Linked DNA regions of Caenorhabditis elegans. The protein of the gene in region 1 purifies or fractionates together with the protein of each later gene. This does not show direct contact. Each region holds a gene or a part of one and is shown on either strand. Other genes may lie near its edges.

What was found.
Region 2: the proteins of pals-4 (region 1) and B0464.9 fractionate together in Caenorhabditis elegans (co-fractionation; one large-scale study listed by BioGRID). This does not show direct contact.

What each region holds. Positions count from the first base shown.
Region 1 is NC_003279.8:13,111,178-13,115,104, forward strand, and holds the start of pals-4 (Protein containing ALS2cr12 (ALS2CR12) signature), read left to right. Parts: upstream 1-2,309; 5' UTR 2,310-2,459; coding exon 2,460-2,545; intron 2,546-2,951; exon of another isoform or gene 2,952-3,000; coding exon 3,001-3,148; intron 3,149-3,906; coding exon 3,907-3,927. Other genes in the region: pals-3 (Protein containing ALS2cr12 (ALS2CR12) signature), read right to left, coding at 122-502, 606-860, 969-1,184, 1,230-1,253.
Region 2 is NC_003281.10:9,463,688-9,467,614, reverse strand, and holds B0464.9 (putative protein phosphatase methylesterase 1), read right to left. Parts: upstream 1,849-3,927; 5' UTR 1,843-1,848; coding exon 1,771-1,842; intron 1,717-1,770; coding exon 1,477-1,716; intron 1,430-1,476; coding exon 1,320-1,429; intron 1,271-1,319; coding exon 736-1,270; intron 691-735; coding exon 553-690; 3' UTR 426-552; downstream 1-425. Other genes in the region: baf-1 (Barrier-to-autointegration factor 1), read right to left, coding at 24-146; B0464.6 (uncharacterized protein), read left to right, coding at 2,145-2,369, 2,414-2,570, 2,618-3,118, 3,270-3,927. UniProt on the Caenorhabditis elegans protein: Demethylates proteins that have been reversibly carboxymethylated.

The DNA.
Region 1 (3,927 bases):
GAGATACTTTGCAGAACTTCTAAGAAATAGTAGTTTTTTGAGTAGCAGTCAATTTACCGAGCGTCGACTGAATATCTTACACGTGGGAACATAGTAAAAAATTCTTCGTGAAACAACAAACCTCACAAAGTCCAATATTGCTTTTCAATTCCGCTCGGTCACTTCCTCTAATTAGTTTGATTGTGTGACCCGCCGAAGAGTCGACTTCATCTGTAAGATCTCGTCCAGCGCTGACCATTCTGTGGACAGCAGCAATGAAAACATCTTCTTTTCTGTCTTTTCCTAGTTCTCCGTAGAAAAGACCCTTTGTTACCATATTCCGTTCTTTTAACGCAGCCATTCGTGAATCATGATCTATTTGATTTTTTCCATTACCCAACTTGATTTCATTGGTTCTCTGCGTTTCGTTCAAAACAATGGCGTTGTTCTCTTCCGCTGTCTTCAAGACTTTCAGTCCAAATTGTTTCTTCTCGTTAAGACTCTCCTTTTGAAATCGTGTGTTCTGAATTGAGAATAAGTTTGTATTTATAAAAATTGTAACTAATGTAAGGCTATTTTACTGTATATGGAAAAATGCATTTTGGGAGAATCGAGGATCAACTCACCTCCTTTTTCAACGCTTTGACGTTTGCAAGTATGATGTCCTCGCTGTGATTTTTTCTCTCCTGGGTCTGCTTCAGCATTTCTTGATCAATCTTCTCTCTCGTCAAAATTTCCTTGTTATCCGCATCTTTTTGGTTTTTTAATGCCTCATCGGATCTCTGCATTGCTTCAATTTGTTCTTTTTGATTTGATTTTACGAGTTCATCCTCCCTTCTGTTGCTCTCAGTTTTTGTCGCTTGAAGCTGTTCCACGGCTGTCTGAATTTTATAAATATATAATTACCCGTGTTCCTAATTCGTGGGTCGAGACAAAAATTTGTTTTGAAATTTCTACTTGTTTTGCACATGTTTTTTTTATAAAGTCACCTGTCTCTGTCTATCTGCGCGTTCTTCCTCGGCTCTTCTCTGCGATAGTTCGGAGCTTCTCAAGTCACTCATACGCTGACGATTGTACGCTTCTTTTCGTTCCTGAGCCTCATATCGTCTTTTTTGCTCTTCATACTCCCGCTGTGCTTGTACATCCCGTCGAGCTTGTGCTTCCTGTCCCGCTTGGAACTCCCGTTCTCTTTCCTCTTTCGCTTCCTGAAATATTTTTCTTGTTTTAGGAATAAAGAAATAGTCTCATACAGTGTCTGAGGGCGCATTCCCCATGCTTCCAGTACAATCTGAAAACTGAAACAGTTTTGAATTTCTCAATGGTTTCAACGAATATGGATGCTTACAAAATAACGAGAACTCGAATTCAAATCAGGACTAAAATCAAAACGTATTCTATGAGTTAATTATATTCAAAAAAAGCAACGCGGAAAACAAATGAAATGAAATTTCGTTCGATAATAAACCATATATCAGAAGTTTAAGGGTTAGGAAGATGATGAAATTTAATTTACATACTCCTCATTCCTTATACCAATTTTCTTATCTTGTTTCCTTTATAAAAATGCATTATATTCCTTATACTTATCGTCAAACAATTATTCACTTTTGCTACTTTTAAATGTGTTCTTAAAAACTCTTATCATACATCCATTTCAGTTTTGAGATCGTTCGATGGTCGTCGGCAAAATTATTGAAGTTTTCATGAAATTCTGCTGGTCTGGCAAGAATAGGGGTGCAAGACTATTAGAGACTGCAAGACTAATAGAGGAAATACGGTAGCCGAAAAATAGCCGCCCACCCCTGGTTAGCATGAAAAACGTGTCAGTAACAAATGAATTAAGAAGAAAACGCATTACATTGTTGCCGAAAAATTTGTTTCTAGCCAACCAAATAATCCAGGGGATCTATTCTTATACAAAATCGGGTCCGTACACCCACCCTATAACTATGGTCGAAGTCTTTTTTGCAGAGTAATCTAAAAAATGGAAATAAAACAACTGGATAATCAAAAATTAGAATTTGAAAATTTAGAAGTATCAAAAAAATCAAGAAAACAGTTTCATAGAGTGCATTGAGGCAATTTAAAGTTATACACACTTCTTTCGTTCGTGGCAGTATTTTAAAAAAATATTAGTGTTAGCAATATTATGAAAAACCTTTTCTATTCCTTATGACTCACCTATTCCTTATGACTTATGACTCAGCAACGACTTATACAGTTTCATTTATTATAAGGAATCCTCGATTATTCCATTTTGAAAAATGTCATTGCAATATTTGTTCTTGCTAATTGTAACTTCAAATATAAACAACTGTTACCAATATTCCATTCCATTCCAGCATTCATGCAACCGTCTTTTTAGTATTTTTAGAATATTTTACATAATTTTATTATTAATTTTTTTTTGCTTCAAAATTCTTAAAAAAATAATCTTTAAAATTTAAGACAAAACCCTCCATAGGTGCAAAAAAGAGAAAATGAGTGACACCGACTACTATCGAGAACTGGAAGCTTCTGAACAACGATTGAGCGATTCTCGGGCTGCTAATCGAGAAAGTATCAGGTACGTTTTGCTTTGAGGTCCACAACAGGGCTGTGCAGCGATTGTTTTTGAAAAAGCCGCACAAAACTTCTTATTTCAATATGATAATTTAACTTTTTTTAAATCCAAAATTAATATAGAAATGTAGAAAAAAGTTCGTTCCATCTTAAGAGAGCATTTATTTTTTTGGTTGTAAATCTTCAAAAATGTCTCAAATAGTGCCTGAAAGTTGCCGTTTGCCAAAAAAGTGACGCTTAACGGTTTTTCGGTAAACAACAACTTTAAAGCACTCTTTGAGGCATTTCTGCAGCTTTTCAACAAAAAATATTATTTTTTGATAGAACAAACATTTTTCAACGTTTCTATATTAATTTTGAGTTAAAAATTTGGATTATTATTTTTGAAATAAATAATTTTGTCTGTTTACCTTTAAAAAATGTTTCACAGCCCCACAACATCAGCAATACCAATTTCAGGACAGTGGAAGACAAAATATCTGATGAGCGAGAGAAGCATGTGGCACGAATGTCGGAAAAAGAGAAGAAACATCATGAAAACATGTTACGACTTACGAATTCCAGCGCTGCAGAGAGGAAATCCGCAGAGGAAGCACATAGGAAATCGGTATGATCGTTATTAACAAAGTTATGAATTTAGCGCTTGTAGTTTAAGGCACACGTTCTTTTTAGGTAAGACTTCAATTAATTTTAAAATGTATTTTCAAGTTGGGTAGGCAATCTAGGTTCTTACTAAATCTTATATAAAGGGATAGTAGCGCCAGTGAGAAGAATGTTAAAACATGCTCGTATGGTGTCAAAATGACCAAATATCATAATAAACCTTTTCAAACATTTTTTGAAGTTTTTTTTTCACTGTCTAAAAAGTGACAATTACTCAGGTTTTGCCACTTATAATTTTTGGAAATCGACTAAAAAAAAATTGTCCTTCATTTTTTATACTGCAATTTTGTTTTAATTATTCGTATTAAAATATTGTTGGGGTCGGAACAAGCGATATTGCTTTAGATTTCCTCAAAAGCTCATACTTTTCAAAATTTTGACTGGAAATTATAAAAATTATACAAATTTTTGGAGTGGCTTCTTATGATATTTGATCGTTTTGGATCATTTTAAGTGTATTTAGACAATTTCCCTACTGGCGCTACTCCACCATTAAAAAATCATTAAAAGGTATTAAAACTCGAATTCAATAACTTTAAACGAAGTTTGATCTCAATTTGTTTAACATTTGTGTACGCATTTCAATTTGGTCGGCATACAGCCTAGCTTTCTTTAAGACAGCAGACCCACTTCGAAGAAAGGTTTTTTGCGAATTCTGTAAAAAAATCACGCGCTTTGAGATTTAAAAATTACTTTTTTTAGGTTGAACAACTCAAAGAAAAA
Region 2 (3,927 bases), on another chromosome or scaffold:
TTGAGAAAAAAAAATCTACATACTTTATCGAAGCCTGCATCGGTGAGCTTGGTGCCATATGTTGGCCCGATCCCGGCGATGCATGTGACTTCTTTGTCGCCCATTGGCTCTCCGACGAACTCACGATGCTTAACAGAAGTCGACATGGTTTCTGAAACACAAAATAATTACATTCTTGAATTTGAAAATATTTTCGAAAATCGTAGTAAAAAGATAGTTGCGAAATAAAATAAAACTGGCAAGAATAGATAGGAAAATAGACAACGCTCCCTTTTAAACGAAACGCTTGGCGGCCACAGTTCAGCGGAGCGCGTTTGCATTCTGTCTGCGTCTCTCGATTTGCGCACTCTTTCACGAATACTTCTTTTTGACTGTAATTTTTTGGCATCTGCCTCTCCTCTAAAATAATCGATTCATTCGTATGTCGCTGACATTTATTATTCCCAAGAACTAAAAAGACGGGAAATTTAATCGATAATCTTTTCATATAAAATATTTTTTTCTTAACTTGTATAGAAATGTTGTGAAAATATTGGAAAACAAAATGAGCAATTATTGGTGATGACGTTTTCTGTATTCGAGAATCGCTGGATCTGGTGGTGATGCAAGGGCTGAGAATTTCGGTTGGGCAATTCTATGGCGGCAAGCGAATCTTCCGACTTCATCTGCAAGATTTTGTGGGCTATCTTCCTGCAAGACAATTTATATAAATTATTAATTGAGTATAACATTTACCTGAACACAATGTCCAACTTTTGGTAACACACAAGTCTGAAACTTTCCCTGCATTTGACCAATTGTGAGATCCCTGTCCAGCCGATCAACGCCCGCTAGAACAAGCATCTTCGGAACGGAACATCCCAAAAATTCTTTGGATAATCCTTCAAACCATCCTTTCCAGTACTGTTCTGTTGTTGTTAAATCAATTCGCCAAGTGTACTCGTGTTCCGATACTTCTCTAATTTGAGACGGCATTGAGACCCGTGCAGCTGTGGGATTCCTCGCTGTACCCGAAGAAAGGCACCAGTGAATGGCTTTTTCGATAGAAGGAAATGAAGAAGGCCTTGAATGTAAAAAATGAACCATTCCTCCAAGTGCTTCCATAGCGGAACCTTCGACAACATCAATGACAATGAGTGCAGCGACTTTTGAAGAAATCATCTTTGCATTCAATGTATGAATGGCCAATGCACCACCCATACTGTGTCCAACAATGCATACTGGTGAATCGTCTTCGCCGAAAATGTTCTTGAAGATTGCTCCAATATCTCTACAATATGTCGATAGAAGTTACAAAACTTATCAAAGCGAAACCTCACTTTATTTGGGTTTCTTTCGAAAGATCGTGCTCATCAGAACATTTAGTGTCGCCGTGTCCTCTTAAATCAGGTGCAACAACTCTGCATGATATTAAAGTTGCCAATTCTTTCTGAACAGAACCATTAATGACTGACACTAGAATAGAACAAAACATACCGCAAAACACGCCCATGTGAGGCCTGAATAACCTCCACCGTGAAGCAAATAGAAAATTGGACCTTCATTTCCCTTTATGTACACATTGAAAACATCTCCATCAATGTTTGCGTCCTTCTTTTCATCAAAAAAATCTGACCACGGTAGTTCAGACATTTCTCGTTTCTTTCCAGAAGTTGATGTGCTCGGAACTGGTGGTGGCCTTCCATGAGTGACCGCTTGACGAAGAAGATCATTTTGCTGAAATTGATATTTAATAAAACATCATCTTGTTAATTTTCACTATTAATGTACCCTGTGAGGAGTTGTGACATGTGACGTTTCCGATTGAAGATCCGGAAGAGTGTCTAATTTATCGTCGGACATGGTGATCTGTAAATTAATATATTTAAATATTTAAGACAATTAAATAGAAAGCTATATTTATTAAAATTGAGCCAAAAAAATAAAATTATTAAAAATCTCCGAAATGGCCTAGAAAATGCTGACATGCGTTTTCTAGGCCAACGCGCTCGTAGTACACGAGGACAAAAAGATTCGAAAATATTTTATCGAAAACTCCCTCGAAAATGTTTTTTCTGTGATTTTTCTCACTAATTTGTTGTTTTAATATAAATATTAATCTAATCGCAAGCTTTACATCAACTCTAGTGTGTTACAGGTTCACAATGACTGCGGATTCACTCCGCGAACGACTGAAAAGTCAAAATGCAGACTATTCATTACTCAACACATCACAGGCATCAAACCGGTCAGCATTTGAAGACAAAATGTCCCCAGTGTGCAAGAGCAGATATGTGAATGATAATCAGAGACTAGAACAATCGAGAATAACAATGCTGGAAACCAGGATCAAATGGCACATCATTCTCTTAACTGGCTTCTCTATTGATGTAAGAGATGAAACTATTAATTTTTATTAACCAGTTTGTTTCAGCATTTGGTGCTCAATTCATCGTTTACCTCTGCAATTCTTCTTTTCGGATTCTTTCCCTCCTACGTAAATTCTAGTATTTCACTATTCGTCATAATTTATTCATTGATTATGATTGCATCGTACGCGTTTGAGATCAAATTCCCGAATGCCCTGAAGCGTAAGATTTTCAGTTATTCTAAAAAAACTTATTCTATCGTTTTTCAGAGCTGGTTTACAACAAAGTTCAATCAAAACCACCACGTCCAGAATCATCAAAAAGTACACCAATAGTGCCCGATGCTCAGAATGTGCTCGACACAAGTGTACAAAGCAATGACCTTTCTTGGGTTGATGCTCACCGTTTCGGTACTCCATCATTCAAATCAAGCCAACTTCAACAATCTCCTTCTCCAAACAAGAAGTCACCTTCATATTCACAAGTGATGTCAAATGTTTCAGTCTCAGACACTTCGGGAATTCTGGAGGATACCAAAGGGGGATGGAAAAGCCCGGCAGTTTATGGAAAATCTAATGAATCGATTCATACAAGAAAACAGCTTGATGTGCTTCTCCGATCTAATCAGGATGAGATTCCAGTCGATATGAATACTTCTACATTTTCTTCCATTTGGAGTGTATTTGGTTTAGGACGCAGTGGTCAGATAAGTGCGAATAACACTTGGCAGGTTTCTGAGGAAATCACGAATGATGGGAATACTAACTCATGTAAGTTGCATCTTCGGTCCACCATTTCAAAAAAAAATTGTGAAATTTTCAAGATTTTTCATTACAAAATTTGGTTGGTTTGGGAAATTTTGAGTCCGTCACTCCACCAACAAACTATGCTTTAAATCATCAAATTTGTATTATTTTTCAGCATACCGAATGAAAATTGGTAAAAATGGAAGAACGGAAGTAAAAATGTTGAGACGTGGCAAAGATGGAGAGATCGAGGAAGAGGATGAAGACGAACTTGTCCGTTTGCATAAAATACTGAATGCGGCGAAGTTAACTCCCGAAGGAAAGACTGGAATTCTGAAACGAAGCAATTCAATCGATCGTGCCGGGATTCGTAGTCGGCGTAGATCTCATAGTTCACCTGAACGATCTACTAGTACTGAAAATGAAATCAGATACCAAACTGGAGAATTATTAACGGAAGATCAGCAGAAAAGAGCCGAGTTTATGACTAGAGCCTGGATTCGCAACACAATTCTCGAACCATTGGCCGAACACATTGATAAAGTCAATAAAATACTCGATAAAGAGCATGCAAATCCTCCACTTCGTGTTGGAGTATCTTCTGTTGATGCTCTGAAACTTGCAGCAATTGAAAGAGATTCTCTCAAATCTTCAGATCTTCCATTCCTTCTTCCATTCCTCAGTGTCCATCCAAATCAAAAATATCTGATCAGTCGAATCAAAGAGCTTTGTGCCACTCAATTTATGGATGCATACAAATGGAATTCGGGTGGTTCAGAGCCAACCGATGATAACGATCAAATGACACGTCTTGTTCGCCGTGAATGGAATGA